2 linked regions of the Drosophila melanogaster genome follow. The gene in region 2 interacts genetically with the main gene of each other region. Each region holds a gene or a part of one and is shown on either strand. Other genes may lie near its edges.

The links. A genetic interaction does not mean that the proteins touch.
Region 1: of egr (region 2) and hid, changing one suppresses a phenotype caused by changing the other (phenotypic suppression), as found in Drosophila melanogaster (2 studies listed by BioGRID).

What each region holds. Positions count from the first base shown.
Region 1 is NT_037436.4:18,181,315-18,187,319, forward strand, and holds the start of hid (head involution defective), read right to left. Parts: upstream 4,328-6,005; 5' UTR 3,809-4,327; coding exon 3,478-3,808; intron 1-3,477.
Region 2 is NT_033778.4:10,076,783-10,087,020, forward strand, and holds egr (eiger), read left to right. Parts: upstream 1-1,583; 5' UTR 1,584-2,229; coding exon 2,230-2,400; intron 2,401-3,830; exon of another isoform or gene 3,831-3,912; intron 3,913-4,005; exon of another isoform or gene 4,006-4,142; intron 4,143-4,405; exon of another isoform or gene 4,406-4,543; intron 4,544-4,724; coding exon 4,725-4,850; intron 4,851-5,470; exon of another isoform or gene 5,471-5,540; intron 5,541-5,859; coding exon 5,860-6,185; intron 6,186-6,247; coding exon 6,248-6,352; intron 6,353-6,479; coding exon 6,480-6,544; intron 6,545-6,621; coding exon 6,622-6,711; intron 6,712-6,791; coding exon 6,792-7,156; 3' UTR 7,157-7,428; downstream 7,429-10,238. Other genes in the region: sut4 (sugar transporter 4), read right to left, coding at 8,847-10,181.

The DNA.
Region 1 (6,005 bases), on a different chromosome or scaffold from region 2:
TAAAACTTAAATGAAATGTAACAATTACAGAGGACGCAACTCAACAAAAAAAAGCTGCATATGTATTTGCAAGGGAAAAATAAAAAAATCGAAAACAAAACCAGAAGGAAACCAAAAATCACGGTCAATGTAAAGGCGAAGCCGTAATACCAACGAAAAGCGAAAAAATAAAGCAGACAACGAGAGAAACAGAAAAAAGCAATGCAAAGTATGTAAAATATAAAAAGCCGCCTGTACGTATAAATCAGCTTGGCAACAGGCCAAGCAAATCGAGATGGAAATGACGATGATGAAAAGCGGAGGCAAACCTCCTCCCATCCAACCCTCCTCCTATTTTCCCACCCCCTTTGTGATGCTGTGCAGAAAAAAGAGGAGTTCAAAACTTGCGGTTAATCGGAGTTTTTGCGCTCCCTCTCTTTCTCCAGGCGTAGGCTTCATCTCGCTCTATCTGCGCAGCAGTCAGCTGTGTTTTGTTGCCAGGCAGGATGCGGCAGGAGTCGCCATTTTTGCCGCCATTATGGCTCCTCTTTTCTACTAAAGTCCACCTACACGAAGTTGCCGAGCAAAACAAAATGGTTGAAAATGTCAAGTGCGGCAGAGACGCCGGCAGCGAAAAACAACGCCTAGCAGCAGAACAGCTGTTGGCAACAGCAAAGCGAATGATGCGAATTTGCAAGCCAAAGCAGAGCGACCAAAACTTGGAGTTGAGTACGGTGGGGAACATTTTTGTACTCTGCACTGTACCTACATAGGTACATATTATTATCTATGATAACAAAAATCTATGTTAATAACTAAATGTTGAACCAAAAAAGTAATAGTCCATAATAGTTTACATAATAACCGCTAGGTTTACGCATCTTTTAATCTGCATCCAATTAGCCAACAGATAAAATGTACCTGTTCCCATCACTGATTAGGGAACCGCTGCTGTCATTGCACCTTTTGTTGGTCGCCATTGGGAATGGGTTACGTGGTGGGCTCTGGATGCTGTATGCATAATCCTCTCCCAAAACAAAAGGCTCCCTGCCGCATTTTTTTTTTTGCTTTTGGTAGGGAAAAGCTCTGTTGGTATTTAGGAATTTTTGTCGGGGTTGTTTGCGCCTCGCATTTTTAGGCTTTTAGGGTTGATAGCTGGCTGATGACTAAGCGCGTTTCTGGCTAAAAGTATTCCGTGAATCTGGCTTGCATGTATGTGTGTATGTATGGCATAGCTGGGGGAACCAGGAAAAAGGGTTCTCGCTTCTTGGTTAACTACAGTTTATCCCTTTCTTGTTTCAAGGGCTTCAAGCATTGTTCACTAGTTTCGGGATGTGTCACGATTAGATAAATTATCCTCTTGAGTGGCTAACTAAAGTACATGATCGGCGTGCGTTGAGTAGGGGCTTAGATGTGGTTCGGGAAAATGAGATAAGGGAAAATTACTTTTAAATCGAAACTTTCACGATAACGTCAAGTCTTTTTAGCTCGTTTTTCAAAATAAATGCCCCGCAATCGAATTTTCACTGGGCATCAGCTCTCGTAAGCGAAAAAAAAGTATCTCTGTATAAATTATGATATTATAGACGAAAACAGATTGAAGCGCCCAAAAGTGACTCACTGTAATTTCGAGAAGGGAACGCTTTTTTTTCGTCTGACCAACTGTTGCTGACAGCAAAAAAGGTAACAAACCAAATAAAACAGCAAAATAATATAAAGTAACAATTCGGTTGTTCGGTGGAACCAAAGAGCGCAGCTGGCAATCATCGACAGCGACAAAATCTATTATGCAAAGGCAACACAAAATTAAGGAACGCGAATGAAAAACCGCAAAGCAAACATGAAAAGCGCGCGCGCAAAAAAAAGAAAAACAATAAAAACTGACCGCACTCAACGTGGCCGAGCACAAAAGCTACTTAAACAACCGTTAAGTCAAACACTTTGCAAATGGCCCACACCCTCAACCCGTTTGGCCCCCTTTTGGAAAATCGGAAAACTAGTTGCCTAAGGTCAAATGGCGTTTAATAATTTGGGTTAGTCGAGTGGTAAGATATACGAGCAGTACGCTCGAGATAGATAGATATCTTGCAGATACCCAGACACACAGGCACACCACACTCACTCAAAAGTCTCAAAAGTAAGACATTCGACTCGAGTTTGGCGCGTGCCAATTAAACGTGCTTAGCTCTGTGCTCCCAGCTCTGTTTTATTGCCGCTGGGTTATGTTTCCCTGGTTTCAGCCAGGTCTTTATTTTCTTGCTGGTCCAGCACACGCCCAATTTTTTGACCATATTTACGAACAATATCGCATGACAGCCAACTCGGCAGTTGTCTTGCATGTGTCTCGGCGTTTCTTTCTTAAAGCCATAGCACACTAAAAGTTTTATCAGCCTAGTTTAGATAATCATGACCGAAGGAAATTGATCTTAATGTGATTTATCGAGCTAGTTATCACCATTTCTACTTTATTTTCATTTATTTATAACATAAGTAGATTTTTGTCTCAATACAAAATTTTTTAATTTGTAAGATTCCCACTTTGGGAATTTGATCCAGTAATTCCCCACATGATTTTGAGTTTTTGCAGTTTTGTGACTTCGTTTATTAAGTTTGCTCTCTCCTCCAATCGAAACTTCTCAATTACTTCTCAATTTTCCCCTTTTTGAACTTGTTCGATTAATTTTTATTGAATTACCGTTTTTTCGGCTTCCTTTCGAATGTGGCCGAGAAATTTGCCTTCCGCTCTGCCTTTTACACTTTTTTTTTTGCTGATAAGCTGACAAAGTGCTGAATTGACCATATATAAAATAAAAAAAAAACTGGGTAAAAGTAAACAAAAACAACCTGGATGCAGTTGACGCAGTTACTCGAAACTGGATGAATCAACAACCTTGAAAAGTGAAACTTGCACAAGGGGAACTGAAGCAGTTAACAAATAACGTCACAACTTGGCTAATTGCTGACCCATTTTAAAATGAGGGAAACCCTCCGGCTGTCCAGAAACTTTCTTAAACTAAACTAAATGATATTAAAAGCGGTAATCAAAAATATGAAACCTTTAAAGTCGCTTGTATAGAAAAAAATTGTTCGCCATTTTTTATTGATCAAATCTATTAGTTTGAAAATATCTTCAAACATTTAAAATGCTGTTTTTTCGAAAGAAATAAATTTACTATTCTTTAAGCAATTTCAAGTTAATAACATTTTTTGTTTACTTTTACAAGGAGATCCTATGAAAATCCTTCTTGTTAATAGCAAAACAAGTGGGCTTAAATAAAGTGTTGGTTATAAGCATTTTAGAAAATATATTACCAACATGCGTAAGCAGTTATTCTGTGTGGGAACTTCTTAAACATTTCGCAATTAATAACCGTATATGAATCGAAACTTATTTTTGTATCTGCAAATGTATTTGAGGTAAACTAAATGGATATCCTGATTAACCCACACAATTTCAAAGTTCTTAAGAGTGGAGAATTGAGATCTTTGTAGACTTACCACTCTGCTGGCTCTGGTACATCCTGACCCACTCGTAGAGGGCGTATAGCACTTGGTCGGTGGGCAGTGGAGACTGCATCGGCGTCTGCGTGGCCGACGAGGTGGTGGTGTTCGGCGATTGCGAGGCGGCGCTGCTGGCGCCGTCCGACGATGCGGAGGACGAAGATGAGGCCGAGGAGGCGGAGGCCGAGGACACGCCCGAGGAGGAGACGGACGAGGATGCGCTCGAGGGAAGTGGGTGGTTGTGGGGGGAGGAGTTGCCCGAGGCTCCCGATGAACTCGACGCTACGTCATCGGCGCCGCCCTCGGGCAAATAAAAGGGCACGGCCATTGTGTGGGTGTGTGTGTGTGCTGGCTTCCTTTTTGTCCTTATCCGCTTCCTTCCTTCCTGCACTTTGTTGGCACTTTGCTCTTCTTGTGATTGTTCTTCGCTGCTTTGTTTTGCTTTTTATTTTGTGTACAACTTTTGGTTAGAGTTCACTTTAATTGATTTTGTATTTCTTGTGCAAGATTTTGAATATTAGAAACTTTTTCATTTTTCGTGCAGTTTTTTCTTATGATTTGTTTTTTATCTTTCCTGATTTGTCAAACAACACTCAAGTCAAGTTTTTGCTCGGTTAGTTAGTTTTTCGGATTCTTCTGCGTTTTTCATCAACCCTTTTCGTGTTTAGAACTGATTTAAAAACACAAAACTGTTCACGATGGATTTCGTTTTTTATTTTTTGTTATTTTTTTATTCTTTGCTTTTGCTGTTGTCAATTATGGAAGAGCACTTAAAACGTGTCGCAGACTCAAAGAAAGAGGGCAGGAAACACGTCTTACTGGCTCCGCGGCTAAAAATGAACTGTTCGCACTGGGGCCTCAAACTACGGCAACAGAGCCTCTACCGCGACGTCGGCAGAGCGGCAGCGTAGGCGCGCAGCCAGTGCAATCGCAATCTCTCTCGCTCCCTCTCCTGCACATGCACGTGCATGAAGGAGGCACACTTGAGAGAAAAAAAATATTTTAAAAAATCCCGCTCTTTACCTACCCTGTAATAGCTGAGTGAGGAAGAGTATACTCGGACCATGAATTGCGTCTACATAAATGCATCAAGGAGCATAGTTAACATATCTAGATTTTAAGGTTGTAAAAATTTAATTGATTGGCTTTCGCATACTGAAAAAACTGAAATATTGTACCAGCGCACTAATTGCTGAAGTAACACTATTTTATAACTCATATTTACTTACAACATAAAGTACATATTTAGATGCACAAACAATGTGAAGGGTATGTCTCAGTTGGTACTCTTACAAAACGTTCTTTCTCGTTTCAACTAAGAGTGTGTGGGCAGGCTGTGTACGCGTGTATGTGTGGGTACACAAAGATCTTGTCGAGCAGGTAAATTCAGAAGAAGAAGAAAACTCATCAGAAGTAGCGAAGAGGCAGTATATCCGACTGCGCTGCCTAGCGAACGCTAAAGCAAAACAAAAACTGCAATTGTACAACACTCTTTGCTTGTGGTTTTCGTTATTGCACTTTGCTCTTGCTTTCGGTTTTGATTTGTATTTGTTTAAACAAGAGAGCGGAGGGAGAGCAAGCGTTCTTAAGAGGCCAAAAAACCGGAGTAGAAAGAGTATGATAAATGGGAGTATATTCTATGAGCGGATTAAATGAGTTAAAAAGGTAGTAGAAAAAAGGGAGTTTTTAGACAAAGCTTGATTACTTTCTCACATTTTAAAATATTTTGAGAAGGGAAGTTCACAATTTTATAATGTTCAATACTTTTTTTTTGAATATAAATTTGAAAAATAGCAACATGATTAACAAAGGATCCAACTTGCTTAGCTCAGGTTTTACTGGCTAAATGAATGTACATATGTATGTATGTATGTACATTTATGCAGAGAATGATTAGCTAGTTTATTGTATTTAATAAAATAAATTAAATTGTTTTATATTTTGGGTATTCAAGCAATGTAATAAAGACTATTTAGTTGGCGTTCATTCACATTAAACATTTCAAACGTGTTTTTGAATATACGATAAGGAGTTTAGCTAATTACATTTCCGATTTGGATGTTGGCTATATTTAATCAATTTCACCATATATCAAAAATTGACTGTGCAACATGAAAAACCTGTTTTCGCTCTTACTCTTGTCTTCCTCTGCATCTTCCCCTCTCCCTCCCACACATTATACAAACAGGCTTTTTCCTCTCCTTTTCTCTCTCTCTCTCTCTCTCTCTATTTCCTTCTCTGTCATTCCCAACTTTGCGCGCGAAAACGCTTGAAAAAAATTACGAAATACGCGTAAAACAATTCTTGGCTTTTAATTTAAATTTTACGGCAAATAATTCTCGTAACTGGCATTACTTTAGATCCATTTATTAGCTTTGTATCTATGTAGCTCTAGTAGCTCTCTTAATAATGTGGTATTATAAAATGTTCGCAATATAATTTAAAACAAATTAGATTCTAGACCTAAAACTAGTTTAATAGCCCATATTTCAAAATAAAAGAGGCCCGTCGAAAATTCTGAAGAA
Region 2 (10,238 bases):
AAAGGTCTCAGAGCTTAGATTGAAACAATTCGTCCGATTTATTCCATAATTAATTAAGCTTTTCACAACTGAATTTATATAAAACAAATGATGTAATACAAAAAAGTAAGATACAAAACACAAAAAAGTAATAGAAGCTTTTCAAAAACTATTGTATATACAAATGTACATACATATGTATATGTATATAATTTTAAATCATTGATTTACCATTTCCGAACATTGAAAATTATAAATAAAAATGTGGTCTTGCACAATGCGAAAACAGATAACGACTAATGGGTTAAGAAGTGCACCGGAAGCGTGTGCCATCCGATCCCCGCTCTTACGGCCTGAGCAGTTCTACCTGTGGTTACCTGTTTGTCGCAGACGATTAGAAACTAATTAGCTGACCAACGCCGACATTTGCATCTCTGCCGAATGACGACACTCTTGGGCGGATTTACGATACGGGTCTGTTTGGCAGCCGGTTCGGCAGACTAGTTGTCGCGACGGTGGCTGATCGGATCGGATCAGCATTAGGTTTATGGCTACCCCGCTACCCGTAATTAGAACCCGTACTTAGGCACGGCGCTGACAGACCCCGATCGTCGGTCTAAGTAATAATAAATACGATTTTAATGAAATGCTAAAAGTTCATTTGGCTTATCTATGGGTTTGTCAACGATCCGCCACTTTTCGGAACTCAATTAGCTGCGGCTCGGGAATCGAAGATCGGGGATCTGTTCCATGTCAGTGTCATGAAGGGAGCTCGAACAAAGCAGCCACACAAAGAAAATGAAGCGAAAACCCGGGGATGCGAAGCCAAGCCGCTTACAGTGGTGCCGATTTCAAAAAGCAATCGAGCAACCCCTATAAATCACAGGGGGAGGTTTTAAGTGCACATAACACATAAAAAGAAATAAAAGCAGTGGAAAACACTGCGCAAAAAGTCAAACACGCTTTGCTACTTATGATCGCCATATGTGCAAGGGAAATCGGAACCAAGTACAGTCTGTCTTGGCTAAAAACAACGATGAGATGGTCTTCAATATGGCATCCAATATTCTAAATTAGATACACTATTTTCTTCTCTTTTGATAAATGTTATTAAAGTTCGTTATTTGAGCATTTCAATTTGATATTGAAATTATGATAACATTGTTAAATTGTTAACAACTTTAGACTATATGAACTATTATTTAGTGTTATATCATATTATAAATCATATTTTTGTAAATATTTCTTATGCACACCATGATTATGAGTTTCATACAAATAATTTGTTATAATAAATAAAAATCGTATCTACATATACATATGTACATGTAAAATTGTAGAAATATAATAATTAATTTAATTCCTGTTAGCCAGAGCCCACTGTATCACCAAAACACCACCCCGGGAGAACCTTGCCAAAAATTAATTACACAAAGTAAACAGCGCAGGCGCCCTTAAGTATGCCGCGCATCCTCGCCACGTGAGCGAGGGAGACGGTGCCAATCCGTTGTCCCTCTTGCTCGCCTGCCTGCTCGAACGTGAGAAATCAAGTGCCGCTCGGTTCGTTTTCCCTCAGTTCACGCTCCCGTTCTCAGTTCAAATTCATTCTCTTTCGAATCGTCGACGCGAACGGACGTTTAAAGTGAGAAAAGAAACCGGTAAATCAGAGATCCCAAGCAAGCGCGTGCGTGCATGATAGCGAAGAAAAAAAGCTATCCGTTTCAGTTAACTACTTACCAAGATTGAATTTCGCCATCGGGCAAATTACTAAAAATACATAAGTGCAACTCGTCCACTGTGTGTTGTGTTTTTTTTTTTTTTTTTGGTTTTCGCTGTGCCTTTATCGCAAACAAGAACTGATAAAACTAGAAAATATCTTGAGAAACTTGTTTTCGCGCTTTTCTTTTGCTAATTGCCGATCGCGGAAGAGAAAAACAAGCAGTAGACAAAACAAGTGTGGTAATACAATCTGAAAAGGGCACCATCAGCAGCCCGAGGGGTTTATCTATATAGATGTCGCAGCTTATCATCTCATGCTGTCTGTGAGGTTGTTCTGTGTGCTCGTGTAGTATCTTAAATACATAGAGTGTGTTCATATAAAGTGCGACAAAGCTCGATTGGAAACAGCTGTCGAGTGCCCTTGAGTGGGTGGGCAAGATCGTCATCATCATCATCGTCGTCATTATCAACAGAATCAGCATCAGCATCTGGAGGCCCCGGTTGCTCTAAGATCCCCAGTGTTCATCAATTATGACTGCCGAGACCCTCAAGCCGTTTATAACGCCAACGAGTGCCAACGATGATGGTTTTCCGGCCAAAGCGACCAGCACGGCGACCGCCCAGCGACGCACCCGCCAGCTGATCCCCCTGGTTTTGGGGTTCATCGGTCTGGGGCTGGTCGTTGCCATTCTCGCACTAACGGTAAGTTTTCCTTCACAATCATTTACCCAATAGCAGCCCAATCAGGTATTATTGCCCATTTGGATCGACTATCGCGATTCTAAACACACCAATTAGACTCTGAACTGAATGAAATCGTACTACAAAATTTTCATTAAGATGCTATTAATTGATAACATTGCGTCTCTATCTGCCTACTTAAGATAACAAACCATGCTTAAAGATGTTTAATTAAGGTGGCACAAATCATACTTAGTATTGAAATAATTACAAATAAATAAATAGTATAACATATTTTATGTGTGTTTGAGCGTCGTACAATCTCTTCAGTCGCATTTTATGTTTTTAATGTTTTTTAGCACACTAAAATCGTCAAATGTGCTGAATAGATTTAGTTAATGAATATAATTTGAAAAAGATTAAAGTAGTCACCTCCAAATTGAAATAGCTATTCCATACTTGAATGCCTTTTTTTTTGTTTGTTGTGTGCGATTAATGATTCGTCGGAATTCCAAAGGTGTGGGTATATCAGTTATTGGTGGGAGTTTCCCCAGAATATAGATAGGAATGAGTTGTTATGGGCTATGTTGTTTAATGATATTTTGGGCGCCAAAGTGGGCCAATCATGATTATATGGCCGTTTTAATGACTGTTTCGAAACGAGTGTAAAGGTATTACACTGATTCTTAAACTAGACTTTTGTAGAATTTGTGTTTTATTGTGTTTTTAGTGTTTTATTTTGGTAGTTTAATTTATAATTTTGCTTAGTTATCTCTCCAAAAACCATCACAACGACAGTTAGTTTTATCTGGAAAACAGATTGCACCAATAAAGTAATGAAAGCATAAAAACAGAGAGATTCCATTCAGCCATGAACCGCCTTCTAGACTCTGAACAGACTCCTATTTTTCGGAAATGTTTATTTCAGTAGCTTGCCAAAATAAAATGCGAATAAATATAAATGCAAATTGGACTTTAACAACGTATGTGTATAGACACCCCCGAAATCGCAATCTAAAAATGAATATTTAACCTTTGGCACGCTTCGGCTTATAAAGCTGTTTGTCACAAAGTCTTTGTTGATGCCAAATTAAAGACGAAATTCCGCGGATGCATAAATTGAAATGAAAACAGACTTTATGATCCGTGACCGTCGCAGATAGGTTAACTATAATTTGGCATGAAACTATATTTAGAGCGGGAAAAACGGCGGTTTCTTGGCTGATCAAGCGATGTCATCACCGACACGTCTTTAGGCCAAATCGGTTCCTAATGATCCAGCTAATCCAAATAAAGCGGATGCAGATGCTAGAGAAATGTTTATCGGTACATGTCTGTTCTTCCCTTTTGTTTTTGTTCAACCGATTTAAATGCCACTGAGTCCGTTCTGTTATGCATTCGATAAATCTTCGACTGGGTTGTTGTGTCATGTTTTTCCCTGATAACTTTGCGAATGAGTGTGCTCGCTGAAATCCGGATTTGAATTGCAGAAGATTAAGTTTGTGGACTTGAATCTGGTCCTTCTCTCCCACCCCCATTTCCCCCCCCCTCACCCAGGACTCCTCCATGACCCACTCAACTTTGGCTTAAGTGAACGGAAATCGTACAATTGACAATTGACTTGTAAATGATTGGCTTCAGCCACTGACGTGGGCCTCAAGTTCGGTTTTCCTCATAAATCTCCGTTAAGCCATGAAGCATTTTTCGTTGTTTAATTCAATTTCACTGACATTCGTACAAAGTAACCCTCATCATTTGGGGCCCTCTAAGAAAGTGACAAACTGCAGGCGCTGCGATCGATCTACTGATCGCCGATAAGCTCTAATGGAAAGTGGTTCACTGGAAACTTAAACAAGTTTCTTGGGTCTGCGTAAAGTCCATAATTTATACAAGAATTCAGTACAAGTTGTTGTGTGTACCTACATGTATGTACATGTGTATATTTCCCCGTCTGCGCGTACAGTGGCTTAAGTTGAGCCATTCTTTTCGATTTCGGCTGCCAGTCGAGACTTGAGAAGTGTCCGTATATAAGGCCTCTGCTCGGCCCGAATGTTAATGATCCATTAAGCAGATTATGTGGCTGAGTGGCGATCGTACGTACCCCGCCGTATTTCCCCACGAAATCTTTCTCGTCTCGCCTCTATCAGTTTGTTCAGTTAGTTTTTATATATTTTTCGGGTGTCAAAAGTTCGCGGCACTGGGTGTTATATGATGTGCCGGGCCTTAGCACCAGCTATAGATGTTTAATTGGGGCTACGTTAAATTGATTGCCCAATTGCTAATGAGCGGATGATTAGAAACGAGCCTGAATGAGTGTGTAACAATTGAATTATCTTATCTTGCAGATCTGGCAGACAACGCGTGTATCGCATCTGGACAAGGAGCTGAAGAGCCTGAAGCGAGTCGTCGATAATCTCCAGCAGCGTTTGGGCATAAACTATCTGGACGAGTTCGACGAGTTCCAAAAGGAGGTGAGCAATTGCGTAAATCACTTTCGAGCATCAATATTTGTACTCGGCGATGGGGCAGGGGCTGTAACATTTGCCCCGGGCAAATACAGATACCTCGAATTGTTTACAAAGTCGGAAATGATTGTTATTCCTTGAGGCTGGTACTTGAGTTTTTAATGAGGGTATATCGAACTTTTGTTATTGAGTATCTATTATGTTTAGTTTTCTTTTTGCCTAAAGGGTAATTTGCATTTTATGATGGCAAACTCTGGCTAGGGTATCTCACAGTCGGTAAGCCATGCGCCTGTTTTTGAAAAAGAATGCCTCAAAAAAATGACCAGACGTAATATGTGGTTATTGTGTGGGACATACAAAAATATTTATAGAATTATGTGCTAAAATATAATTTCGACGCTGTTTCATCTGTTATTTGTTTCATTTTTTTTTGTTAGCTGCTTGGCCAAAGGCACATAGAAAATTGTGATAGATTATTTGAATTATAATGTCTCTTTCCGCAAGGAAACACTCATTTCAAATATGAGGCGCCAGCCAGTTCACGTAATTTATGAGATACAAATCCCCAAGTGACAAAAGGTAAAAGCCCCAATAATTCAACAAAAATACTAGGCTCTATCAGTAGATATAGTCGTTCAAGGCGAGCGATCGCTTTTGGCTGTATGTGACGATTGATCGAATCTCATCAAATGGCCTAATGGCCAGAGATGGTTTTAAGATTTTAAGATTTATTTATATTTTGATGGCTGGGCATCTGTGGTGCCAATTCTCTTGAGAGTTTCCTTCGCTTTTAAATATATGTATGATGTACACAAGTATATGTATACGAGTATCATGTTTTTGAGCGAGGCGCCATCAATTAGGATGATGACGAAACAGCCTGTGCTGCGGGCGTGTGTCTAAAAATGAACGTCCCAAATGGATGTGAGATATGTGCCAGGACTGTGCCAGCTGCAGTCACGTACTTGGCCAAGTCTTCTGACCCAAAATGCTGATGCCCATCCCTTCGTTGCAGTACGAGAATGCCCTCATCGACTATCCAAAAAAGGTGGATGGCCTCACGGATGAGGAGGACGACGACGATGGCGATGGTCTGGATTCCATTGCGGACGACGAGGACGACGACGTTAGCTATAGCTCTGTGGATGATGTTGGCGCAGACTACGAGGACTACACCGATATGTTAAATAAACTCAACAATGCACATACCGGCACCACGCCCACATCTGAGACCACTGCTGAGGGCGAGGGCGAGACGGACAGTGCATCCTCAGCCTCAAATGATGACAATGTGTTCGATGACTTTACCAGCTACAATGCCCACAAAAAGAAGCAGGAGAGGTGAGCACGGATGAAATTTTCAGGGATTTATCGTATTAAGCCTCTGCTTTTCCTCTTCACAGAAAATCTCGCTCGATTGCCGATGTACGCAATGAGGAGCAGAATATTCAAGGAAATCACACAGAGCTTCAGGAAAAGTCATCCAATGAGGCAACTTCCAAAGAGAGGTAAGTAGAACGTTCCGTTGAAAACAGGCAAGAAAAACCATTAATGAAGTTATATGCTATGGGTTAAAGATAGATAGTTAACTGCGTAACTGAAACACATATGTATACATTTTCTTTTTACTTGAAGCCCTGCACCACTTCACCACCGTCGCAGAATGCATTCCCGCCATCGCCACCTCCTAGTCCGCAAAGGTGTGTAGTGTAGAAAAGCGAAACAATTGGCAAAAATCGAATACCAAATCTCTATTCGCACCTCTGTTAATTTGCAGGTGAATCTCTTCTTTCAGCCAGATCCGAGGACTCGAGGCCAGCAGCCCATTTCCACTTGAGCAGCAGGCGGCGTCACCAAGGAAGTATGGGTAAGGAGATGCTTCCGCGTCAAGCGTGTACATACAAGTACTACAGGCAACCTAATGAAGTCACTTCTTGAATTTCTCAGGCTACCATGGAGATATGTACATAGGAAATGATAACGAGAGAAACTCTTATCAGGGACACTTTCAAACGCGCGATGGCGTCTTGACGGTGACCAATACAGGCCTATATTACGTATACGCCCAGATATGCTACAACAACTCGCACGACCAGAACGGATTTATCGTCTTTCAAGGAGACACTCCATTCCTGCAGTGCTTGAACACGGTGCCCACCAACATGCCACATAAGGTGCACACCTGCCACACGAGTGGTCTGATCCACCTGGAACGAAACGAGAGGATCCATCTGAAGGACATTCACAACGATCGCAATGCAGTTCTGCGGGAGGGAAACAACCGAAGCTACTTTGGCATCTTCAAGGTGTAAATTGGAGAGATTATCCCCGGTCAGAAGATGGAATACCAGTTTAAGCTTTTGTCCCCGCGACTGCTCGTGAATGCGATTCATCGCCAGCGTGAATCCATTAGTTCGTAGTACCTAGTCTTAGTCACTCCAAACCTAATCTCAATCGGAATCGTGCATACTGCATTAGTCAGAAGACGGAGGAAAATCATATTTATTTTGTATATACTCGTTCGACTCTAAAAAGTGAATAAAAATATATGTAGCTATTACCCGCTTGTGTAAGCGTGTTTAAGAAACATCAATTGAATCAATTGCTACCAGTTGCAATTGAAAATATTATAATCTTCTAAATAATGAATATTCGTTCTTAGTATAATTCGATTCAAAATGCTTCAAATGCTTTCAATTCAAATCTCAAATGAAGAGCCATTCAAAGATATCCCTCAGCTTTATTTGTGCAATTCCAGCTTACTATGGTCTTTATTAAAAATTTTGAATGGAATTTGGTCAAAGGGCAGGGAAATTGCTTTGCAACTGGATAATATCCGGACCGGGAGTTGTATTGCAGCTCGAGCGTCTGTCCCGGGCAACATCTGCATCGCCATCGTCATAGTCATGGAAACCACAGGAGAGTAAGGAAGTCCGAACTTCAAATCTTTTTACCCACATGTTCCGAGAATTCGGACAATTGGACACGAAGGAGGGGCCAAAGTACAGTCATCGGTAAGACGACCAAATCAGTCTTGCAGACGTCATGTACAAGAAAATGTTGAGGTGGCATTTTCATGCTAAGCTTGATTGATCAAATAATCAATTAGTTGTACCTGGTGTTTTCTAGTGTATACTCCTTGACAACAATTAGCAAGGATTAATGAGAATGGATACAACAATTCATTTTTGACTACACGTCACACGACCTGTTCATGTCGTAAATTTAAAGACAAGCTTAAAATACCTGAAAATGACAAAATGATATATACATTTTGAATACTTATTTTTGTTTTCCCATCTTCAGCCAAAGACAAATTTCTAGTGGTTGGGAGGGGGAACTCCGGATATGATTGTGGGGCGTATGCACGCCGATTGTCGGGCGGGCGGAGTAACAGGTGGCTCGAATTGGGGTCCTGCTGATGGGAGAGAGCAACAGTTCGTTCCCGGAATTGGTTTGTGCTTTTGGCCTGGCCATAACGTGTGTACATAACCCCCAGCTGCAGCGCCCGTCAGATGTTCCGTGTGCCATGCGCACTGGTCGGGAAATCGCAACCAGGCCCGAAATTGCTGGGGAAATGGCATCCTGTCAGCCGGAAAGCTTTCTACTATTTACCTGGACTTATTTGCTATTTACCCTCCGATTGCATACGAAGTCAAAGCGCATCTATTTTGCATATAGAGCCTGGCAATTGGCAATTCGTTTCTGATTTCAGTGCAGTGTGTGTCGATTTCTCTTTCCAAGTAGTTCAAGTAGTTGGATTGAAGGATCTGCAAGGAATACGTTGCGCGAAATGGTGAGTCGGCACAACACTTAAAATGTCAAGAGGTGGCATTTTATTCATAATAACATCATGTAGAAAAATGTTAAGACATAAATTTAAATGCATTTGATTGCATTTGACGGTACAAATATTCAGTTCCAATTCCACGAAAATTTATCAAAAGTTTGGTCAGAGATCCATAGACTTGAATCCCTGATGATATCAAAAGATTGCAAGTACTATTCGGCCTTCTCGCCCATCTTGGCCTGAATCTCGTTAAGCGTTTTTCCCTTTGTCTCGGGAATTAGGAAGAGAATGAAGACAAAGGCGGCCACCGCAAATCCGAAGAAGATTGCAAAGCACGCGGTTGCTCCAATAATATCGTTAAGAACAGGGAAAAGAAGGGTCACGATAAAAGCAAAACACCAATTTGTAGTCCCGGCAATCGATCCTGCTAGGGCCTTTACATCCTCGGCAAAGAGCTCGGCCATCATCAGCCAGGGAACTGGACCGAATCCCAGGGAGAATCCAATAATAAAAACACAAACGGCAATTAGGGCCAGCCAGCCGACTCCAGATTTCATCAACATGCCAAAGTAAAGAGCCATGATCAGGGTGCTGATACCCATCATGCAGGCGGACACCAATAGGAGTATCTTCCGACCGACTTTCTCAATAACCAGGATCGAAATGATAGTGGCAATAGCCTGCACAATGCCCACAATAATTGTAGATATTCTGGGCTCCAGGGTCGATCCAGCCGTCTCAAAGATGAATGTAGAATAGAAAATAATCGCATTGATGCCCGTCATCTGCTGGAACAACATGAGACCGATGGAGAGGAACAGCCCCTTGAGGGTAATCCTGCGGCATAGGATTTTCCCAACGCTAGCCTTCTCCTTTTGGCCCTCGGCGCTCATTTCCTTCAGCTCACCGCTCACATCCGCATCCTTTCCGCGCAGAAATTTAAGAGATTTCTCCGCCTTCTCGGCTTTTCCCTTTTGGGCCAGAAAAATCGGAGATTCCGGCATAAAAATCATCAAGACAAAAAAGATTACGGGCAAAATTGCGCAAGCAATATTAAAGTAGAAGGTCTTTACAAAACCTCCAACCACAAAGGCGTACAGAATACCAAAAACGATTAGCAGCTGGAAGAAGCATCCCATGGTTCCGCGGTACTGGACCTGGGCTATCTCAGTCACGTACATGGGACAAGTCACGCAGAAGGCTCCTCCGCAGAATCCCACTACGAAGCGTCCGAGCAGCAGCATTGCTATGTGCGATGCCAGGAGGATCAGGAGCCATCCGATAAAGAACGGTGGCAGCAGGATTAGCATTGTCGTCTTCCGCCCGATCTTACCAATGAGCACGCCCACCGGAATGCACGAGAAAGCTGCACCCAGAGTCATCAGAGATCCCACCAGGCCCCATTCCGTTTGACGAGGGGTAAAGTTGTACGCGTTAGAATTCTTGACTTCATTTTCCACCGGTCCTGACCAGCCGATCACTGCGCCTAGACAAAAGGCGCCCAGGGCGCCGATGAAACCAACAATAAACTGAGTGGCAGTTCCCATTTTTACATAAAATGCGCGATGAAAAAATCAGTGTTTCGATTTATATTTGTACAATTT